Linked DNA regions of Rhinolophus ferrumequinum. The protein of the gene in region 1 interacts with the protein of each later gene in a biochemical or structural test. Links are inferred from orthologs where the notes say so. Each region holds a gene or a part of one and is shown in the gene's direction. Other genes may lie near its edges.

Region 1 (7,297 bases):
TTTCCCCTTTTGTGTTCCAAACATGAGGTTCTCTCTACTGGTCCTCTTAACTGTGGTGTTGAGGCTTATATTTGTGTAATTTTTGGTGGGTGAAAGGAACTTTGCTAAGTAAATCTCTTCTGTGTTTGAACTGAAGTCTGTATTGTAACCATGTTTAAAGTAATTGTTCCAGAGACAAATGCTTCTAGACACCTTTTCTTTACAAACAAAAGAATTCGGAGGGTGGGGATGGTGACCAAGATGAGAGGGGCTGTCCTATGTCCCCTCCCAGGAGGGGAGATCCAGAGAGATGGCCCCCGCTCAGATCAGCCAGAAGCCACCCAAAGGAGTTAAGCCTATGCCAGCGGACCGAATAGCTGATGTGTTGCCATTTTCAAAGTCAGAGCAAAACCAGGTCTTGTTCCACCCGGTGGATTCTTTTGCCTTCCCCCCCCCAAGATTATTGGCATCATTGTTATTTTTAAGAACAGACAGGTTCATGTTCCTGCGAGGGGAGTCAGGAGGGTGTGAGCAGGGCCGGCCTGGCCTTGGTAGGAGGCTGGGGTGGGCCTGAACGGCCATGGCTCAGACGAAGGGTGGGCACCTCCCTGGAGACCTCCTCTGCTGTGGCCACAGGTCAGGTATATGCTGACGGGGCAGACTGGCCACTCTTCGCCTGACGCAGCTCTTTCTGGACAGGCCAGGTAGCGGGCATTACCGTTTAGTAGGACACTTCCATCACATCCCACCCCGTCCCGCAGCGCCCCACACTAACGTGACCTCTTATCTTAGTCCCCACCATCTCGTGTGATGAGATGCGGAGGGTGCGCTCTCTTAGCTGTCATCCAATTCCCAGCAAAATTTGGACGTGAGAACCCCCCTTCCCTTTCCATGGCAAAGCCAGACCCTTCTCAGAGAAGCTGTTCCCCCCACCAGACGGTTTGGGTTCACGGAACGGACAGAGATGTGCTCACTTCGCGCCAGGCGGCACCTCCTCCCGAAGGTGAGGGTAGTACTCACTGTAGTGACCATTTGCACGTGGGGTTTGGTAGCGGGTAGAACCAGGCAGGGTGGCTGCCCCCCCCCCAAGTCTCAGTGACACAGGCCAGCCACCCTGTGCAGAGGGAAGCCCGGCTGAGGGTGGGAGAGGTATGTGTGAGGCGCGGGGAGCCGCCCAGGACAGACTTGGCTGGAGATGTCTCAAAAAGCCCTCTATCACATTCACCTTCAGTTTTTGTGTTTTGGGACAATTACTTTAGGAAATAAGTAGGTCGTTTTAAAAAACAAAAAATATTGATTGCTTTTTTGTAGTGTTCAAAAAAAGGTTCTTTGTGTATAGCCAAATGACTGAAAGCACTGATATATTTAAAAACAAAAGGCAATTTATTAAGGAAATTTGTACCATTTCAGTAAACCTGTCTGAATGTACCTGTATACGTTTCAAAAACACCCCCCACTGAATCCCTGTAACCTATTTATTATATAAAGAGTTTGCCTTATAAATTTACATAAAAATGTCCGTTTGTGTCTTTTGTTGTAAAATCAAGTGATTTTTTCATAAGGTTCTTTTACTATTTGAAAAGATGGGCAGCACGCAGTTTTATTTTATTTTTGTAAGTTTTTTAATACGTGTGAAAGCAAAGACTACTCAGCATGCCTTTCTAAGTGACGCGTTTGCACCTTTTGTTGGGAAGTACTGTATCCTGTGCTGTTAGCATTCTCGATAAATCTCTCTGTGAAAGTGACTCAAGGTCTGGGCTTTCATTATCAGACAGCTCACAGGACAGCATGGTGGTGTGTTTCCTGATTCGGTCTGGCTGTCCCTGAACAGAGGAGAGCCAGCCACTTTCAGGACCGCCCTGAGAGGAGAGGGCAGCCTGCTCCATACACCACCTCCCCTTGGGCGTTCCAAGGCCGCCCTTGCCAGGCACACTGCTCCTGCATGTGTGGGGAAGCTCTGGGTGGCAGGCTGGGAAGGGCCTGGCACAAATCTGCCCGCCGTGCCCTAGGTCAAGAGGCAGGCGGGCTGCAGAACAGTGGCACAACCTCCCTGTTCCTGAGGGCCACGGTAGGGGTGCCTCTTTGGTCGGGATGTGCCCAGGTGCTTTTGGAAAAACAGCCCACTCCCAGCTCAGGCTCCTCCTGTGCCTACCACCTGAGACCCTCCCATAGCCTCTGCTGAACTGGCTCCCTGCCCAAGGGGGGCGCTGTCATCACTGGGGTTTGCAGGTGTCACACCCTGCCTGTGCCCCTTGGCTTCCCCGTAAGGCTCTGGCCTCTCTGGAGCTGTCTGCCCCGCACGGTCATCCTCACCAGGCCCTTGCTGGGCTGGAGGGGACAACTGCTCCGTGTCCAGCTTCACGCGCAAAGGTGGACGCACCTATTAGAAGGTGCACTCGAAAGCCTTGGCCTTAAACGTTAAAACAAAGGGTTGAAATTCAACCTGTGTGCACTGAGCATCTTGTGTGTGCCAGGCCTGTCCAGGGAGCTGCAGTCCAGCAGTGAGCAAGTAGGGCCAAGCGTCTGTTCCCTTAGAGCTCAGTGTGTGTGTATCCGCATGGTAATTCCCATCCTCAGGGTATGGGTGGCCCCCTCTGTGGGAGTGGCTGACACTTCTGGGAAGAGGTTCCAATGGACGCCCATATTGGGCGCGGGTTTTTGCAAACATCCCCGAGTCCCTGGGAGGACAACCTGGGGTGGGGAGCCCTCTGGGGTCAGAATCGAGAGGACAAGGGGGATGGACGGTCAGGGAAGAACTGTTACCTTGCAACAAGCATGCCTCTAGCTGGAGAAACAAAAGAAGAAGGCACCTGGTACTGTTGGCTGGGTCTTCCCCATCTACTGGGGGAGGCTCAAGAAGGGCACACCAGAGATGCCAGGCACAGCGGGGGCTGCAGACAGCTCTGCCACAGGGCCCTAGGGAGCTTGCACCCTAGCTTCCACCTGGAGAGCTGTTTGAGCTCAACCTTGTCACATGACGGCCAGGAAACTGCACGTGCTAACTCGTGGACACAGAAGGCCTGGCGCTTTCTCGGAATCATAAGGAGTTCTGGATGGCTTACGGCTGCTGGTGTGTGCAGAGCTAGACATGAGGTGGGTGTGCAGGGGCCATGTGGTGACGGCCATGGAGGCTGCAGTCCAGAGCTGCGACCCATCAGAAGGCTCCGGGAAGCACAGGAGTCTTTTGGCAGGAAAGCCCTGTGGCTTGATTTGTGCCAGAGGAGGAGCACCCAGGCAGACATGAGGCGCGGAAGCCATGAGGGAGCCGGCAAATTCATCCAGGTAAGAGGTAGTAGTGAAGGCAGTGGGCCCATGGGGAGGAGATGGACTCCGGACATGTTTGGGGAGAAGACAGGAACATAGTGGCTGCTGATGCGGAGTGGAGCCATGGAGGCTGCAGAGCACTATGGGAATGGGCAAGAGAGACAAATATGACCCAGACGCCAAACTGAGCTTGGTGCCTGGCCACTGCCTCAGAAAAGAGAGTGGGAGAGAGAGGCCTGACTGCCGCCCTCGCAGGGGGAGCGCAGACTGAGCCAGAAACGTGATCACGAGAGGGAAGAGGGACAAGAGGAGCTGAAACCTTGTTTTTAAGAGAGACAAGCACGGTTCATGTGCTAGTGGGAAGGAGCCAGCAAAGAAGGAAGAGTGGCAGATATTGCTACGAGGTAACAATTGCTGATGCAGGTGCCTGCAGGAGGGAAAAGACGGGATCCAGGGCACAGGAGGTGGGCGGAAATGCTCTGAGCCGGGGCAGCCTGCGGGTACGAGCTTCCAAACCGTTCTCCCTGCACCCGACCTCACGGGCCAGCTGACGGGAGTGAGCAGGGGGTGGGAGTGGGGCCTTTGTGGAACCCCCATCTGACCCTGTCCCTCCAGCATCTCTGACGGCTCTCCATTGTCTCCAAATAAAGTCGACACGTCTTAAGGGGACGTCCCAGCGGCTGACGTCCTCATGGCCTCCGTCCTCTTTGCTGAGAACGGCTCTCCTCCATCCGTCAGAGCCCCACTCAGACGACCCCTCCTCCTGGAAGCCCGCCCTGCCCGCCTGGCCCCGCGCAGTGGCGCTGCCTCCGCGGGAAGGGACCGCTTGTGGCGCCCCCGTGTGGCCGAGGGCCGCGGTGGCCGCGGCGGCCGCGGCAGCGGGCAAGATGGCGGAGTCTCGGGTACCGCCCCTTCCGCCCCGGCGGGCGTCGCACGAGGACGGCTTAAAGGGGAAGTGAGTCAGTGTTTGCGGACCCGGCCGGCCGAGGCCCGCGCCCGCCGTGGCCCCGGAAGGCCCCGAGAGGCCCCGGCCCGGCGGCGGCGGCAGCGGCGGCGGCCATGGCCGGGGGGCCGGGCCCGGAGGAAGCCGCGGCCCCGGGCGCACAGCACTTCTTGTACGAGGTGCCGCCCTGGGTCATGTGCCGCTTCTACAAAGTGATGGACGCCCTGGAGCCCAGCGACTGGTGCCAGTTTGGTGGGTGGCGTCGGGCCGGCGGACCTGCGGGGCGGGGGGCGCGCGGGACCCAGCGCCCAAGCCTGACGCACCCCACCCCGCAGCCGCCCTGATTGTTCGCGACCAGACCGAGCTGCGGCTGTGCGAACGCTCCGGGCAGCGCACGGCCAGCGTCCTGTGGCCCTGGATCAACCGCAACGCCCGCGTGGCCGACCTCGTGCGCATCCTCACGCACCTGCAGTTGCTCCGCGCGCGGGACATCATCACGGCTTGTGAGTGCGCGGCTCCGGGACCCCAGGACCGGAGGCCTCTCACGGGGCCCCTCCCCCTGCCTGGGCCTAACCATCCTTTCTGTCTTTGACGTCCCAGGGCACCCTCCCGCCCCCCTCCCACCCTCCAGCACCACCTCCCCGAGACCCAGCAGCCTCTCTGCACCCTCTGAAGCAGAGGCCCCCAGCCCCGGGAAGTTGCAGTCGTCAGCCTCCACTCTCCTCTCCCCAGGTAAGACAGCCCTAGTGTTGGGCTTGATGGACCTGAGAAAAGGGCCACCTTGACCATGGCCATGGCTGTAGATCCTGCCCCTGGTCTCTGCCTGCCTCTCACTGGTGTCTTTACGAAGCTTTTCCAGGCTTCCAGGCTCATTCTGGGCCTGAGATCGGCCGTGTCCCAAGCCCTGCTGCCCTCCGGCCACCACCACCACCACCTCTATCCTCTTCTACCAAGGTAGGTGGGTCCTGTCCCCAGGAAAGGTTCCAAACAAGTAACAAGAAACCCAGTCTTTGGTACACCAGGGATCCCCAGCCAGCCCAGCAGGGCCAGCTGGGAGGCAACTGGGATGGAGGTAGCTTGTGGCCAGGGCAGAGGGGAGGAGACAGGACCTTACCTGATTGGGGTCTCTTCCCACAGCAGAGCGCAGGGAACCCAGTGTCCCTCCTGCAAGGTACCCACCCCTCTCCATTCTGCTGGCCCCTCCATGAGATTTCCCAGGGCACCCACAACTTCTCAGAGGAGCTGAAGATCGGAGAGGGTGGCTTTGGGTGTGTGTACCGGGCTGTGCTGAGGAACACAGTGTATGCAGTGAAGAAGCTGAAGGAGGTGGGTTTAGCATCCCAGCGAGGGCCCTGGAGGGCCAGCAGCAGACCCTCACTTTTCTGGTCCAACCCCCTGCTTCCCACACAGCTCCTTCAGCCCTCTGATTCCCCAGCTCAAGCCCCCCCCCAGCCCCTTGGTTGTTCTGGGCCCAGGACAGATGGCACTGGGAGTGGCCATCGAACCTTGGCTGCAAGAGCCTCATGCTGCCCCTCTTCCCCCGTTTTCCCTGGGGGCTCCAGGAGGCAGACCTGGAGTGGACCACTGTGAAGCAGAGCTTCCTGACAGAAGTGGAGCAGCTGTCACGGTGAGCCTGGGATGTCCCTCTAGGACCATGCACCACGGGATCTGGCTCCCTCAGGCCCCCGAAGCTTGCCATGCCCAGCCTAGCTGAGAAACCAGCAGGGACTGCCCACCCCCGACTGACACAGCCATATGGAAAGCGCGGTGGAGACTGGGTGGCAGAGCACTCAGGCCCCAATTTTCCAAGCAGGTTTCGTCACCCAAACATCGTGGACTTTGCTGGCTACTGTGCTCAAAGTGGCTACTACTGCCTCGTCTATGGCTTCCTGCCCAATGGCTCCCTGGAAGACCGCCTCCATTTCCAGGTAGTCTTACCTGGCCCGGCACGTTTCCCCAGACCCACAGCGTCTGAGTGGTGTGGGGCATGGGGCCTAGCGCCTGAGCTCTCAGCCTCCGTGAGTGGGTCTCACCGGCAGGCAGGGCCTAGGCTCAGGGTTTGGCCCAAGGTGCGATGTCGTTTGCCCCAGAACTCTTTCCCATGGCCTCTTCCTGGCTGTTCTGCGTGCCCAGGAGCCTGGGACCATGGTACCTCTGAAAATGGGGTTATTGACTCCGAGTAACCTGACTCGGGCTTCTTCCCTTTGCAAGCAGAGTAGCTGAAGGGTCTTGTCAGTATTGCTCTTGGGGAAATGGGGCAGTGGCAGCAGGCTGCACTGTCTGGACCCACAGTTGGGCCCTGTCTAGCGAGACACCCACAAGACTCAAGGGCGAACTGCACACTGTGTTGGGAGAAGTGGAGAGAAAGCCTCCAGTGACATCCTGATCGCCCTGGGACAAATGAATGAACTTCAGGAACTGAGGACCGCGGAATTCTGTGATGACTCTGGAAAGCACATTCTCAGCCATTTTCCCAGCATGCTTTACAAAGCAGTGGGAATAGCTTAATCTCGCTCCTCTTGTAATATAACTCATGGAGATTTTGCTCCTCATTTTTCAGAAGGAGAAACAGTCCCAGAGAGTGAAGTGCTTGTCCAGACCCCGTGGTGACAGGTGGAGGGAGGGTTGGGGTCAAGGAATGGTGGCGCCCAGCACCCCCTGTGCCCCTTTGCTCCCTCTGCTGCTCCAGGCCCGGGCCTGCTCCCCACTCTCCTGGCCTCAGCGCCTGGACATCCTTCTGGGCACCGCCCGGGCGATTCAGTTTTTACATCAGGACAGTCCCAGCCTCATCCACGGAGACGTCAAGAGGTGAGGAGGGGAAACAGCTAGTCCCCTGGGTCCCCTGAGAGCTGCAGGGGCGGAGTCCATGGCAAGCCCATGATGCCCCCAAACCTTCCACCAGCAGAGCGTCTGGTCCCCAGGAACCCTGCCCTGAGTGCCCCCATGAAAATAGGTCTGCCCTCTCCTGCTCGAGGCAGAGGTGGGGATGGTGCAGCCCTGGGACGGGACGTCAGAGCTAGGGGCCCTGGGTAACGAGTAACTGGCATGGGTGGGACAGGTGTGGAAGCGGAGTCCAAGGATGCCCCACTCGTGGGGCCGAGCTGTGCAAGG
Region 2 (7,816 bases), on another chromosome or scaffold:
GCAGGCCACCTCCACTCTGAGTCCCGGACCCCCACCCACGCTACCCCAGCCCTGGCTCCCGGGCTGATTGGCAGGGCTTGGCTATTGCAGGACACCCGGGAGGAGAACGAGGTGCCCAGCCACACGGACAACGCCACTTTGGTCCTGGAGGTGCAGCCGGCCGACCTGCGGCCTCCCTGGTTCCTGCCCTGCATCTACTCTGACAATTATGTCTGCGTCCACGCCGAGTATCGTGGGGCTATCCCCACAGGCCACAAACTGGTACTGGGGATAGGGAGGGCAGGGCCACGTCCCGAGCTGGGTCAGGGTCAGGGTCAGGGTCTGTCGGCACCGGGGGTGGGGCCTGGGTGCCATGCAGCCAGTTCTGTTGTGATTTTCAAACAAATGTGTGAACATTCCCTTGTGCTCCAACCTTGCTCCATCACTGTGGTGGTGAGTGGCCAGCAAACTCCTCTGAGATTAGGATAAGGGGGACGGCCCAGCTGTCCTGGGGGCACAGCCAGGGACCCAGTGAGGGGCTGGGACGCTGGGGGGCCACGCAGCACTCAGCAGGGGCAGCTGCACCTCTGACCGTCCTGCTCGTGCCACGAGGGGCACACTTAGGCACTGGGGGGCAGGGTCCAGCTCTCCACGCAAGCAACCACGTCCCCACGTCCCCTGCACCTGCCAGCTCCTGAGACACACACTGTTCAGATCAACCGAATGTTTGGGCAAAATGACTCATTGACAGCGGGTCCAAAGGGGTGTGATGTGTAATCGTGCCTGCGACTGGACTGTCCGGCAGGCCCCCGTGGGGGTGCAGGCCTCCTGCAGGGGAGTTGGCGGGGTCGAGCTGGGGCACTCACACCAGTCCCACAACGTCCCCACCCTCTGGGTCCCGCAGCTGGGCCCCCTCATCCTGCAGCCTGGGCCCGTCTACGCTGTGGACGGGGATCGGGGCATCAACCAGCGCATCATCTACAGCTTCCTGGCGGGTGAGTGGGCCCCCCCCCCCCCCCCCCCCGGCTTCTGTCTCCAAACAACCGGGCCCACCCGCATCCCCACCCAGCGGGACATGCCGTGTGGCAAAGCCAGTTGGGACCTCAGGCCTTCGAAGGGGACAGGACTAAACCCGCCCACCTCCCTCTCAGGACACGAAGAAGGCAATTTCGTCATCAACGCTGACTCCGGCAACCTCACCATGACCAGAAGCGTCCCCAGTCCCAAGACCTTCGTTTTTCTAGTCAAAGTGGGTCTCCTGGCCAGGCCTCCACAGACCATTCCTGAACCCCAGGCCGCAGGGCTCACCCTTCAAGGACCCTCTGGTCACTGCAGCTTCCCCCTACCCCCAGGGCGAGCAGGCAGACCACGCCAGATACTCGGTGACGAAGGTCACGGTGGAGGCCCGAAATGCCTCAGGGAGCCTCCCCCGTTTCCCATTGAGCCTGTACCGAGGCACAGTGGCTCTGGGCTCAGGCGTGGGCGTGGCTGTCAAGGACGCAGCTGTCCCCTCCCAGCTTCTGAGGATCCGAGCCCAGGACCCCGAGTTCCCGGTAGGCCCTGCCTAGGTCTACCTGGCCTCTCCTCTGGGGTGGGTTCGGGGGTTCTGGGGGCCTGGCGCTCACCAGGACTGTGTCCAGGACCTCAACTCAGCGATCACATATAAAATCACCAACAACTCCAACTTCCGAATGAATGGGGAGGCTGTGCTGACGGCCGCCCCGCTGGCGCTGGCGGGGGTCTTCTACGCGGAGGTGAGGAGCGGGTAGCATCTCTAAGGGCAGGGGTTAAGGGGGGAACTAGGAGGGACAAGCCCCCTTCCTGCCCCAGGTTCAGGCCAACAACACGGTGACATCAGGCACAGCGTCCACCGTCGTGGAGATTCAAGTGTTGGAGCAGGAGACCACCCCCACAGGTGAGCCTGGGGGCCCAGGTGACCCTTAGGGAGGGCTTCTTGTCACAGGCATGCTGGCAACAGAGGCAAGCCCAAACTGTGTCCCTGGCCCCTAGGCCCCCCTGTCCCCCCCACAGCCCCAGAGGCTGGAGGAACAACCCGGCCCTCAAGCAGCACCACTTCGGAAGCCCCCAGCCCCCCAGGGCCTACTCAGGGATCCTCCACGACCAGCTCTGAGGGGGGCACTGGTCCGCGCCCCACCCCAGGCACAACTCTGAGGCCACCTGCCTCGTCCACGCCTGGGGGGACCCCCGGTGCTGGGACCAGCACCTCTCCCCCATCAGCCTCACCCAGCGGGGGCTCAACACAGACCCCGAAGCCAGGAACCTCTCGGCCGACGTCCCTTGCATCTAGCAGGACCCCCCAGCTCCCAGGTAGCACCCCCAGATGTCCCAGAGTCATGCTCGCGCTCCCTGACTAGACAGTCCTAGGAGTCACTGTAGGGCAGGTGGCCATGCTGACTGTAAAATCCCAACGGGGCTGGTGGCTCTGGTCTGGGTGGAGACAGACAGGTCCTGGGGGCCCCAGAAGGTAAACTGGGGAAAGTGCAGATTTGGGATCACTGAACCCCACAACTCCCAGGCCGTCCACTCCAGTGCTCCCAGCATTGCCCTCGCCTCCCTCTGGGTGGAACCGCCGCCTCCCACCTGGAGCTGCTGGCACAGACCCCTCTGGCCCTCCCTCCCTTCAGCAGCCTGGCTTGTTCTGTGTCCCTAAGCCTGGCGCAGGTTGGCACGGACTGTGCTTGGGTGCTGCGCTGACAGTGGCTGGTCCTGTTGCCTGCAGGTTCGCCGGGGACAGGAGGCGTCACTGGGGGGATTGACCAGCCAGGTGGCAGCCATGCTGAGGACCAGCGCTTCTCACAAGCAGAGATGGGGGCCCTGGGAGGGGTTCTGGGCGGGCTGTTGCTCCTGGCTTTGCTGGCCCTGCTCATCCTCATCCACAAGCACTATGGCCCCCAGCTGCCCTGCTGCTCTGGCAAAGCTCTGGTGAGGCCTGGGGAGGTGGGGGGGGGCAGGACAGGAGAGACAGAAACCAGAGGCAGGGATGTGAGAGTGAGGGCAGCATCGGGAAGTGGGAGGTGGAGAATCGGCAGGATGGAGACCAGGAATCGGCCGGAAAGCTGGAGAGCAAAAGTGAGGAGGTGTAGACACCACAGGCCAAAGAGAAGCAGAGAAAAGGGGAGGAGCTAGCGTGGATCCCAGTCCCTGGGGAGGGAGGGAAACGATAGATCTGAGCCCAGGCGGGGGTCCCGGTTGACACCCTGACTCCCCGGCCCACTCCCCAGGAGCCCAGCGGCTTTGACAACAAGGCCTTCGTCCCCGACAACGAGGCCAACTGGGCGCCAGCCCCCAGCCCCGCCCCCGACTGCACCCTGCCCGCGGACCCGCCGGCGTCCCCGCTTCCCGCGCCTCCCACGCCCCCCAGCCCCCCGCGCCCCGGCCGCGTCCCCGAGTCCCCCGCGGCAGCCCGGGATGGAGGCGGGCCCGAAGGCGTGAGGTCCATCCTGACGAAGGAGCGGCGGCCTGAGGGCGGCTACAAGGCTGTGTGGTTCGGCGAGGACATCGGGGCCGAGGCCGACGTGGTGGTCCTCAACACGCCCGCCTCGGACGCGGACGGCGCCGGCGACTCCGGCAGCGAGGGCAGCGGCGACGAGGACGCCGATGCGGACCTGGGCGGGGGTCCCCACGACGACGCGCCCAGCGCCGACTCTACCTTCATGTAGTGCCCCCCCCCCGCCATTGTGTAGAATAAAGTGACATTTCCGAATCGCGGGCGAGGCGTCGCTGGCGCGGGTGATGGGGCGCGGAGAGGGCGGGCGGGGCGGGCCCCCTGCCCTGAAGCGCGCGGGCACCGCTTCCCGTAAACCACCTGCTCCGCCGCCAGCCGCGGGGCTTCCCGGGCTCCGTGCCAGGTGGCGGCGGGAGTTCCTCTCGGAGTAACCGCCGCCGGAGGAGGGCGCCCTGCACTGGGGAGACCTCCCTCCCGACCCAACCCGGAGATTCTCGGCCTGGGGGCGGCTCAGGAGCCGCCCTGAAGAGCAGTCGGAGAGCAGGGTCCCAGGACCTTCCGGGGGGCACAAGGTGTGGGGCCCGCGGGAGCAGTAAGCACTCAGGCGCCCAGACAGCGGCCTGTGGTGCGAGTGGAGCGCGGCCCAGTGTGACAGGAGTCGGGAGCAGTGGCCAGGCCATGGGCTAGCGGCGGCGGGTGGGACCGGTTAGTGCACCACCAGAAGCTGGGGGGAAACCAGGGCCACACAGTGGGGGACAGCCCCCTCCACTGGACTTCCGTCCTCACCTCCACCGCACTGTCCCTTGTGGGTGGGTCATCGTTTTTCCTAATGAAATAGCAGCACTAATTCCTTTCCGAATGTTTTCATGGCGAGGGTGTTGGAGTATCTTGCTAAGAACCCCGGCCGTACGCTGCCGCTGGTCGCACGCCCTTCTCTATTACCCGCTTTCTCCCGCAAGAAGAGGTGCCTGGTTTTCTTTGGAGTCCGCGGAATCCTCAGCTTATCCCATTTCCCCCACTCCCACCCCTGGCCCCGGGTGTGCAGGGGGTGCTCCCGGAAGGAGAGGAGCGACCGGACGCCGCAGGAGCTGAGGCTGGCAGGCAAGCGAGACCGGCCCCTCCTGCCGCCCCTCCGCGACCGCCCTCCCCGCACTGTCCATAGCCGGGGTCTGAGCCTCCACCAAGGGCCTGCACCCGGGCTCGGGGAACACACCGCGCGCACCCCCTCCTACAGGGAAACCTCCGCCGCAGCGCAGGACGTCCTCGGCTGCACCTGAGGCCAGAGGCCCGGCCCCGCCCCGGCCCCACGGCTACCGCCCCGCCCCCTGTTGCCTGCCCGTATAAAAGCGCTGGTTCCCTGCCTCCCGGGGAGAAGGAACTTCCTGCCCCGGCGGCTCCGGCTCCAGGTACTATTCGGGACCCCAACCCCCCGGAGTCACATGGTGCATCTCCGGGTTCGAGGTGGAGGCGAGGGTGGCTGAGGACCAGCGGGGGTGCTTTTGGGACGGGGAGGCGCCCGCCTCGCAGCGGGGGGTTAGGTTTCGTTTTCCGGCGACGCGCAGTTTTGCTTTCCCGACGCCCAGGCCCTGCAGCGGCTGTTCCCATCTGTCTCCGCAGGTCCAGCCTGCCCGTCCCGCAGGCCTGGACGCTGGCTCAACACCTGTGACTTCACGTGTGCGCGCTGCCACATCTCTTGTCACACCCATCGCCACCTTTGCCAAGAAACCCACACCTGGGCAACGTCGTGGCCATAAACCTTCAACCCACATCTGTGACCCCAACAACTGTAACAACTGGGCCACACTTGTGACATCGGGCCATACTACCTGTGGCGACACATAAGCAGTTCTTCCCTCACCTGTGGGAACACCTGACTGCCACTCGTGATCACATCCCCTCGCAGTGGGATCATGGCTGCGGCCCCAGACAGGTGAGAGCCTGGCCCACCTCCCCGGAGCCCAACCACCGCACCCGACCGCCGGCTCCCTGACCTGCTGTCTGCTCCGCCCACAGGGGTGCCCCGCGCGTACGGTTCGCAGACTGGCTTTTGGGCGAGGTAAGCAGCGGCCGCTACGAGGGCCTGCGGTGGCTGGACGCGGCTCGCACGCGCTTCCGCGTACCCTGGAAACATTTTTCGCGGAAGGATCTGGGAGAGGCCGATTCGCGCATATTCAAGGTGGGCCCCCGGCTCCGACCCGGGTGGGAGGGTCAGCCCAGGGGCAGGCCCGCGCTCCCAGGCCCACGCCCTCCTTCTCGGTCCCCAGGCCTGGGCCGTGGCCCGCGGCAGGTGGCCGCTCAGCAGCGTCGCAGGCGACCCTCCGACCACCGAAGGCGCGCTCAGGGCCGGCTGGAAAACCAACTTCCGGTGCGCGCTGCACAGCACACAGCGCTTCGTGATGCTGCAAGACAATTCGGCGGACCAGGTCGACCCGCATAAGGTCTACGCGCTCACCTCGGAGATGGGCTGGAGAGGTGAGCACCCGGGACGCCGCGCTCAGGGAGGCAGGATGTGCGGGGCAGAAGAATGTGCTGCAAAGGGCGCTAGCACTTTGCTCTGTCGAGGGGCAGCCCCTGGGTCAGATCTGGGCAAGGCGGTTGGTGCCAGGTTGTTAGGGCGAGCTGGTGGGGTCTCTGGGGACCAGCGAAGGGAGTATGTGCCAGCAGAGCGTCTCAGGTCCCATTGCTCCCCCCACCCCAATTCTCACTCAGAAGGTCCAGGCATTAACCAGGACGAGGACCAGGCCCTTGAAGATGCCCAATACATGAGGGTAAGGCGGCTCTGCCCTCCTCGCACCTGGGTGGGGGCTGTCACCTCTCACTGGCTGGGGGCTCCTTATGCTGGCACTGTCTTCCCCTGTAGGGTGAGCTCCCCGGGCCATGCCTGGTAGATGTTGAGAGGCCGAACCCTGCGCCCTGTGCCCCAAACCCTCTTCCCAGCCCAGCTGGCTCCGCCGGGGACCTCCTGCTTCAGGCTCTGCAGCAGAGCTCTCTGGAGGACTACCTGCTGGAAGGTGTGGAGGCGGATCCAAGCCCCACAGAAGCTCCTGGTAAGGGGCTGTTGGCTGGGGTGCCCTGGGAGGGGAAGGCAGGCCAGCAGTCCCTGGGGGTGGGGGGGATGTCTAGCAGGGATGGTGTTGGCCACAGCTGAGCCAGTACAGCTGTTCCCACTGTGGTCGTCCTCCACAGATCCAGAGCTCCCTAGGGGGGAGCTGGACCTGCCATGGGCAGTGGAAATGGCCCCCAGCCCCAGGTCACAGCCCCAGGCCCAAATGACAGGTGAGAGGAGCCAGGGGATGTGTGGAGGAGGGAGGGGCTGGGGGACCAGGTGCCAGCTCAGGCCTTTCCCCCCCCACCGGACGCAGGCCCAGCCCAGGAGCCCTGGCAGCCCCAAGAGGCGGAGCCCTGCACCCAGTTGTCAGTGTCCAGCTGCCCACAGCTCGGTCTCCATGCAGAGCCCAGCCTGGGGGCCCTGGATGTGACCATCATGTACAAGGGCCGAACAGTGCTGCAGGAGGTGGTTGGGCGCCCAAGCTGCGTGCTCCTGTATGGGGCCCCTCGCCTAGCCATTGAGGACACAGAGCCCCAGCTCGTGGCCTTCCCCAGCCCCGCCGAGCTGCCAGACCAGAAGCAACTCCACTACACAGAGAAGCTGCTACAGCACGTGGCCCCCGGCCTGCAGCTCGAGCTCCGGGGCCTGAGGCTGTGGGCCCGGCGCCAGGGCAAGTGTAAGGTCTACTGGGAGGTGGGCGGCCCCCTGGGCTGCGACAGCCCCTCCACCCCAGCCCGCCTGCTGCAAAGGAACTGCTACACGCTCATCTTTGACTTTCGCAGCTTTTTCCGAGGTCAGTGGTGCCCCTGGCATGACACCCGGTCCCTCCCCACCCCTACCCACACTGCTCCTCCTCCGCTCACCAGAGCCCCATCCTGCAGAGCTGGTGGAATTCCGGGCTCGCCAGCGCCAGGGCTCCCCACACTATACCATCTACCTGGGCTTTGGGCAGGACCTGTCAGCCGGGAGACCCAAGGAGAGGAGCCTAGTCCTGGTGAAGGTGAGGGCAGGGTCCCACGTGGGGGAGGCGGCGGCTGCTGCACAGCCTGGCCCGGCCTGATTGCGCCCTCCCCGCAGCTGGAGCCATGGCTGTGCCGGGCACACGTGGAGGGTGTACAGCGGGAAGGCGTGTCCTCTCTGGACAACAGCAGCCTGAGCCTCTGCCTGTCCAGCACCAACAGCCTGTACGATGACCTGGAGCGCTTCCTGGACTTCCTCATGGAGGTGGAGCAGCCCGCCTAGGGCTGCCGGGGCTGCCCCAAATCGAATAAAAAGAACCAAGAACCTGTGCTGGTGTCCTGAGCAGGGGGTGGGCTTGGGGC
Region 3 (8,012 bases), on another chromosome or scaffold:
ACAGATCCATGTATTTTTTCCAATATCCCTCTGGACAAATCCATTCAATTCACTTGAATTATTCACCTTTCACTGATTTTTCACTGATTCACAATTTTAACTACTTTTATCAAAGAAAACGGTAATGATTTATTAAATTACCTGTGTATATAACTTTTCTTTCCTGGCATTCAAGAAGAGACCTTTTCCTGTGCTTGTGTGCTTTTTCTCGAAATCTTACTGTTATCACTATATTTGGATTACCAGCATTGCAATTAGGTTCAGGAAAAGATTTGGTTTCCACAAGATTTCCAAACTTTTTGTTAACAAAATGGTGAACAGCTTTTCTGTGGTCTTTGTCTGTATCAGGTTTAAAGGTAAATTTGGAATTTTCTTTCTTTGCATCCAAATATTTGAAAAAGTCAAGTGCTTCTTCTTCGGATACCAAGTGAAGGAGTTCTTTATATTCAAGATTTGGTTTTACAACAATTTCACTGTTTTTTCCTACAGTTATTAAAAAGGGAAACTTCTGCCTAATAGCACTATGCAAAATAGCCCTCTGGTTTTTGTCAAGGATTGTGCCCAGTAAGAATTCAGGAGATGGTCCAATTAGCTCAGTTTTAGAATCCCACTTCTCTTTTATAGCACAAGCAAACTGATTCAGTAATTCACTAGTTTTTTTATCTAACAAAGAGCCTAATACATCAACTTTTTCTTCTTCACATTTGGAAGTTCCATCATTGATTATATCTTCCTTTTCTGAACCAGTCTGATGATTTTGGTCATCATTGGAAAACCCAGCCAAAGTATTGACTTCTTGGTCGCTTCCCTCTTCCAAGGACACATTTTGAAGATCTAGTTTTGTTTTCTTTGCAAAATTATTTGGCTTGGGTAGTGCTTTACTAATCTTGTCAATAGGTTCATCAGTGGCCTTATTAACTAACTGTCCCTGTTCATCTATTTCAATAACAACAAAGTCACTTGGTGAGCTTTTTATAGTGCCATGAAATCCAACATGATCAGTAATGAAACACAAAGAACTAAATCTGATTCTAAAATCTGTATCCTCTTCCATTCTTAAATAGCAATGCCTACAAAAGAAACAGAGAGGCAGTCAGTTACTAGAAAGAAAACTTGTGGGTCACAAAAAGAAATAGGTTTGCAGGATTTATTTAATTCTCTTTCTCCCTTTCAATCCTGAGACTCCTTTAATAGACACTAATAATCTACTTCTATATATCCTGTGTATTTTGACCCTCCTATACCAAAATGAATTAACATACAAACTTTTTCTGGTATAACTGGTGAGTTGCAACTTGACTCTTCATCCACTCCAGGATTCCATCTATTGTTCAGGATTAAAATGAGTCAGTTTCAACTTCACTTTAAAAATATAATTTGTTGGCCAGCCCAGTGGCTCAGGCGATTAGAGCTCTGTGCTCCTAACTCCGAAGGCTGCCGGTTCGATTCCCACATGGGCCAGTGGGCTCTCACCCACAAGGTTGCCAGTTCAACTCCTCGAGTCCCGCAAGGGATGGTGGGCAGAGCCCCTGCAACTAAGATTGAACATGGCACCTTAAGCTGAGTTGCCTCCCGGATGGCTCAGTTGGTTGGAGCGTGTCCTCTCAACCACAAGGTTACCGGTTCAACTCCCACAAGGGATGGTGGGCTGTGCCCCCGGCGACCAGCAACGGCAACTGGACCTGGAGCTGAGCTGCGCCCTCCACAGCTAAGACTGAAAGGACAACAACTTGAAGCTGAACGGCACCCTCCACAACTAAGATTGAAAGGACAACAACTTGACTTGGAAAAAAGGCCTGGAAGTACACACTGTTCCCCAATAAAGTCCTGTTCCCTTCCCCAATAAAATCTTTAAAAAATATATGTCACTTGTAGGCCCACAAAGAACAAAGAACTGTGTACAATGTGTGCAGTGATTTTCTAAACCCTACCTCTGAAATTTCCAGCTAAATCCAGAGAACTTGTGGCTAGATTTTTATATATTAGCTGTTAGGGATGGGAGAAGGATGAGAAGACAGGAAGAAAAAGGCCAAATTGACAAATGAAGCTCTAAATACCAACTTGCCATGTGATTACTTGAACCATAAGCCTTCTTGAAAGCCCATATAAAAACTTTTACAGATACAAACTTCTGAGGTTGACTCAGAGGGAAATTCCAACCTTGTCACGGTCATCAGAGAGAAGAAACCCTTACAGATTTTCTTGAAGCAGCAGACCAGAGAATAGTTCTGTAAGGAGGCCTTCACTCACTCTTCACACAACCTATGGCTACCACACCAGATGGAGCTACAGGAAAGCTAAAATGCCCAGGGCCCCGTAATATTCCTTTGTGTCAGCCACACTCTCCAGGTAATTTAATCATCATCTGGACCTTCATTCCATGTTGACAATGTATTATACTAATCTGAAACAATTTAGCAAACTCCCCTCCTCCATCCTATTATGCCATGTAGAAATCAGAGCAAATTCTCTACATCCTTATTTCTTAGGAAATATAGAGGGATATATTTATTTTCCTTCATTCCTTAATTTCCTGTACAGTCTCCTCAGTTTCTAGCCTTCACTGAAACCTGGCTATTTCCCCCAGGCTGCTTCCTCTGTAGTCCTCTCAAGTGAAAGCCATTTTTCCTTTCACACCCACCTAACTTAGGACCTGGAAATTGTAAATATTTTGTTTGCCACTACTCCTTCCAAACCATTTCTTCCTCCTCTACCTCCCCAAACCCCAGTTCCTTTGAAGTTCATGCCATCAGACTCTGCCATCTGCTGTCATCCTCTCTCTGGTCCTGGGATGACTCTTCCTTCTTCACTGAAGACTTTATTGTTCCCTGTCTTCTTAACCATCATGACTTGCAGGACCATCCATATGGATCATCCATTTAACATCACAGTGTCTCAGTTCCTCAATCTGAATCTCAACCCACTTCCACTTCATCTTGGTCATAGCCTTGACTTTCTGATCACCAAAAATTGCATCAACTTTAAGCATCTGGCTCTCTGATTACTCCTGCTGTCCTTTCATCACCTCCACTTTGTACTTCATTCCATAAATTCTTATACATTGTAAAGGCCTCTAATCTCTGCTTCTACTACTGGTCCACGTAACACCCAGAATGATTTAAAAGGTAAATTAATCCATATCACAACCTGATTTAAAACCCTCAAACCACATTTATAATGAAATTCAAATTTCCCTGACTTCCAAAGATTTCTAAGATTCTGGACTTTGTCTAGTCTACAAATTTATTTTGTAACCTTTCCCCATTTCCAACTATACTCCAGATACACTGGACTTCATTTCCTTTGTACCAACTGTTGCTGCTGATGAAATTGGTCCTTCCCAAATCACATCCTACGAGGTCTTCCCTGACCAATGTCTAAAGGAACCGGCAAGTCACTCTCTTTCACAAAACTTTAGCTTTTTGCATAGTATTTCTATCTAATAATTTTCATTATTTATTGTATATCTCCCTCAACTAGATTGTTAGCTCCATCCAAGCAAGAACTTGTCTGCCTTATTCACTGATTATCTCACATTTAGAACACTGTCACGCACATAGTAGGCATGCAATCATTACTGATAGTTGAATAAATTAAATTATAAAATAAGAGGGTAAGAGTGAAAAGGAAGAAAGGTCGCTTTTGCCTATGATAATTGGTAAAGTCATAATGCAAGACGTGGCCATCTAAGTCCTCAAAACTGTCTAAGCAATAGAAATGAGGCAGAGGCATATCATAAGTAATGTAAAAACAAAATATGCAATGTGGTAGAGAAAACTGAACAGTCCAGATACAGAGCTGTAGGAGAAAAAGTTTTCTGGACAGTTCTGGAAAATACAGTTGGATCAGTGCCAAACTATCTAAGACACTGAATGCCCTGTCAAGGGCTTAGAATCCAGAGCGGTCAATGGATGGCCGCCGGAGGTGTTTGGGTAGGAAAACTACACAATCTAAAATGATGTTTTGGTAAGACGCCTGATGGAACCGTACAGGATGAATCAGAAGCAGTGTTAGGGAAGCAATGTAATCAAGACTATTGTTGTAGGATCGGCCTTGGGAATAATAATAACAAATTCTTACCCCAGTAAAAGGAAGATATGAAGACATTCTAAGCTAATACAATGGGTAGAACAAGTAACTCGGGGAGAATGTGTAACAACGAGGGAATTACAACCAAGCATCTTAGGAAAAGAGCGGAACCCAGCGGGAGGGAGCCCAGGAGCCCACGTGGAGTTCAGCATAACTGTGCGGTGTTCCTCCGCAACCGATTGGTCGATGAGGGTGCCAGGTGGAGAGGGGTAAGGTAGTCTGACCCAAGGTTAGTGAATTCCCGGTTGAGGACAGACAGATACAAGGAAGATATTAGAAATGGAGAAGACAGCGCCTTTTCCCTTACGCTCTTACTTCACTAATCGCCGAAGCTCCGCCGAACTCACTCCTACGTACTTCCCGCTCCGTCCCCCACCCGCAGAATTTAAATCTCCGGCGTGGTGGCCTTTGGCGCGTCCACAAGTACCCTCAGACACCGCCACCAGCTCCCCGTGCTTCTCCTCCCTCCCCCACACCCGCCAGTCCCAAGGCGCAATCCTCGTCCACCTCACCCTCCGCTCGGGGGCAAAGGCTTGGGGTCCCAACGCCAATCATGTCATCGCCCCATACAGAAGCCCACATGACGCTAGATGCTCCACCGGGTCTACCTCACCTCCAGGTGAAGGCATGCCCCTGCACAACCTTGTGCGCATGCCCGGAAGACAATATATTTCGCCTCCGACGGAGGCGTTTTTAAAGGGACAGGCTCCTACTTACAGAAGCGACTAGGACTTTCCCACTTGGTGACGCCGCCCGCAGGGGCCAAGAGGCAGGGAAGGGCGGGGCCTGGCGTGTGGAGCCCTTCCCGTCACGCCCCGCCCCGCCCCACCGCGCCCCGCCCCGCGCCCCGCCCCGCGCCCCGATTCCTCACCGGCGGGCACTACCGGGCGGGGTGCAGTCCGCCTCCTGTGCCCCGCGTCTGGGCAGGTAAGGATTTCCGACTGTGCGCGCATCCTTCACCGCAGGTGGTCCGAAGTCCGCGCCCCGGCCTCAGTCTCCCTGCCCCAGGGTTGTTCAGGGACCGTTTCGGAAGGAAGTTAGCCTCTTATCTTCCAAATGAGAAAAGTTCGGGAGGAACTAGGTGGCGTGGACCGAGCTTGATCCAGGGTAAAGACTTGGTTGGGTCCCTGGGGATCAAAAAGTTACTCGGACCTGAAGAGGAATCTGGGGCGTGGAGAAGCGTCACCCAGACATTCTGTGGCTCAGTCGTTCCTCTCTCCGAGTCTCAACTCCTATGAGTTGTGTTCCGTCTGAGTGCGGGTTTACAAAATGAAATCTTTTTTTCCTGAGAACCAGGAAGTAAGTCCAGCACCCAGCAGAGATGCTTGTTGCTTGGAAGGCATGCTGAGCCTGCACAAGATTCTAAGATTCTAATTAGTTTGTTTCTCTGGCTTCCAAGCTTCCAGGAAATTAGAAAGTGGAGAGGAGTTGTAAGGTTCAGATAAGTGCATTATCAGATAGGAAAAGTGTACTTGACAGCCTAGAAGCAAGAGAGAAAACAGAAATAAAAAGCAGACCTTGAGAAATTGAGGAAGCGTTGTGGCCATTTAGAATGGGAACAAATGGCTCTTATTAGTGCCTCAAAAACGCATCTGCCCCCAAGGAACCCTAAGAACAGAGAACATTTAACTCTGCCTTGCCCTTTCTTTCTGGAGTAAGCCTTGAAGGATCTGTCAGAAAGTTCAGAGTTGTTTTATTCTCCTGTTTGCAAGCTAAACATTCCTTTGAAGTGTACTTTCTAACCTGTCCAAACTGAGCTCATGATCTTCCAGTCCAAACGTGTGCCTTCCACAGTCTATTCTATCTCAGTAAATGTCAGGAAACTTGTTTAGGCCAAAAACCTTGATGCTATCTTCTCACCTTTCATATCAGCAAATAGGATTCTCATTGCTGTACCTCAGAAAATATTGAGCATCCTAGGTCTTCCTACCTTCTCTGCTACCTCTGTGGTCCAAGCTGCCAGTACCTCCCACCTGGACTACTGGATTACTCTACTAAACTGGTTTCTTCCTTCTTCTCTGCCCTTATTCCAGGAGCCTTTATTCTCAGCAGCAGCCCCAGTGTCCTTTTAAGAACCAGTTTAGAGCCTGTCTCTCCTTTTCTTAAAGCCTCCACTGTCTTCTCATCTTGCTCAAGGATCAACAAAGTCAATACAAAGTATACGGCTCTAAGAGACCTAGCTCTGTTACCTCTCTCATCTAATCTGCTACTTTCCTACTCCCTCTCCAGTCTCACTATCTCCTGGCTTTTTCTCAATGACCCATTTCAGGCCCTTGGAATGTTTTCCTACAGATACCCAGTGGCTGACTTCCTCATTGATTCAGACCTTTAATCACCTTCTTTGTTTCCCTCACTCTTCTTTCTCTGTAGTATCTGATCTTTCATGAAGTTAAGATCAGATGCAGTCTCCTAAATGTTTGACTGTTTTCTTCTGCATTCCCTGACCATATACTTTTTTCAGGTTTACATTTCTGCTAGATTATTGCAAAGTTTTCAAACTGGTCTCCCTGCGTAAATATACATCCCTTCAATTTTTTATCCAGAGGAATCCACTTAGCCAAATAACACCTTTCCTTAAAGTCCTGTAACTTTTAGTATAAAGTTTAAACTCCTTGTCATAGCATATGCGGTACATGATGATTTGGCCCTGTCTACTTCTCGAGCGTCACCTCTTATTACTTAATGACATGCATCCTGTGGTCCAGCCATAGCAAACCCTTTGCCTGAGCCTAACCTATGCTCCCCTGTGCTGTTCCTGCTGCCTGGAGTTTCCTTGAGTTTATCCTCATTCCTTTTCATTCATCTTTCCAACCTCCCAACCCACCCAAATCTGTCTTAATATACTTCCTTCGGACGGGCTTGGCTTGATGTCCCTTCTCTGGGCCCCAAAACATACCTCTTGCAACATTTATAACTCACTGTAATTGTTTTATCCCCTGCTAGACTGAACAGCTTGAAAACAAAAGATTTTCTCTTCTCTGTAGCTCCTGTTACTTATTGCAAAGCCTGACATGTATGTTTTTTTGAATGTAGGGATGTATATTTACGCAGGAAGACCAATTTGAAAACTTTGCAATAATCTAGCAGAAATGTAAACCTGAAAAAAGTATATGGTCAGGGAATGCAGAAGAAAACATTCAAACATTTAGGAGACTGCATCTGATCTTAAATTCATGAAAGATCAGATACTACAGAGAAAGAAGAGTGAGGGAAACAAAGAAGGTGATTAAAGGTCTGAATCAATGAGAAAGTCAGCCACTGGGATATCTGTAGGAAAATGTTCCAAGGGCCTGAAATGGGTCATTGAGAAAAAGCCAGAAAGGAAATGACTGGTCTTTCTAGAAAAGAGAGTGAAATGAACAACGCATTGAGTTATAGAAGCAGGGACATAAGGCATGAATTTTGAAGTCAGATATGGGTTCAAGTCCTAGCTCTTTTACTTACTACCTTTGTGAAATAGAGATGATAAAACTGCATTAGTCACCTTGAGGATTAAGTGAAGTGTATAAATCACCTTGCATGGTACTGGGCAGGAACATGTAACAACACCATTATCTACAATGTGCTAGTTACTAGTTATATATTAGTAAATAAAATGATCATAGTCCCTGAACTCGTGGAACTCTTAGTCTGATGGGGGTGACAGTAAACAACTGGACAAATAAATTTATGGTTACAAATAAATTGTGCAGTAATGAAAGATATTTAGGTTGAGGGCAGATAGACCTACGTAGATGTAATGGTCAAAGAAGGTCAAAGAGAAGAAAATGCTAATACAGAGGTCCAGGATACAGAGAGACTTTTTGCTTCTTACTCTTTTATAACTTCTGGATTTTGTACCACATGAATATATTCTCTACTCCAAAAATTAGTTATATTGCATCTTAAAAAGAAAAATATATAGGGGAACAGGAGAATAATTG

What was found.
Region 2: the proteins of IRAK1 (region 1) and IRF7 form a complex in vitro, tested with the Homo sapiens proteins (2 studies listed by BioGRID, with this or other methods). The link is inferred for Rhinolophus ferrumequinum from reciprocal best matches to the Homo sapiens genes IRAK1 and IRF7.
Region 3: of the proteins of IRAK1 (region 1) and IRAK4, one has a biochemical effect on the other in vitro, tested with the Homo sapiens proteins (2 studies listed by BioGRID). The link is inferred for Rhinolophus ferrumequinum from reciprocal best matches to the Homo sapiens genes IRAK1 and IRAK4.

Annotation. Positions count from the first base shown.
Region 1 is NC_046284.1:6,426,693-6,433,989, forward strand, and holds the start of IRAK1 (interleukin-1 receptor-associated kinase 1), read left to right. Parts: upstream 1-4,254; 5' UTR 4,255-4,302; coding exon 4,303-4,438; intron 4,439-4,521; coding exon 4,522-4,689; intron 4,690-4,786; coding exon 4,787-4,918; intron 4,919-5,036; coding exon 5,037-5,140; intron 5,141-5,323; coding exon 5,324-5,512; intron 5,513-5,748; coding exon 5,749-5,813; intron 5,814-5,999; coding exon 6,000-6,114; intron 6,115-6,875; coding exon 6,876-6,994; intron 6,995-7,297.
Region 2 is NC_046294.1:361,335-369,150, reverse strand, and holds IRF7 (interferon regulatory factor 7), read left to right. Parts: upstream 1-4,733; 5' UTR 4,734-4,851; intron 4,852-5,062; 5' UTR 5,063-5,355; coding exon 5,356-5,375; intron 5,376-5,458; coding exon 5,459-5,621; intron 5,622-5,709; coding exon 5,710-5,917; intron 5,918-6,154; coding exon 6,155-6,213; intron 6,214-6,305; coding exon 6,306-6,492; intron 6,493-6,631; coding exon 6,632-6,721; intron 6,722-6,807; coding exon 6,808-7,287; intron 7,288-7,375; coding exon 7,376-7,494; intron 7,495-7,571; coding exon 7,572-7,736; 3' UTR 7,737-7,782; downstream 7,783-7,816. Other genes in the region: CDHR5 (cadherin-related family member 5), read left to right, coding at 91-261, 884-974, 1,131-1,228, 1,332-1,532, 1,620-1,733, 1,810-1,894, 1,990-2,307, 2,720-2,922 and 1 more.
Region 3 is NC_046293.1:46,386,295-46,394,306, forward strand, and holds the start of IRAK4 (interleukin-1 receptor-associated kinase 4), read left to right. Parts: upstream 1-4,929; 5' UTR 4,930-5,016; exon of another isoform or gene 5,017-5,196; intron 5,197-8,012. Other genes in the region: pseudouridylate synthase PUS7L, read right to left, coding at 142-1,054.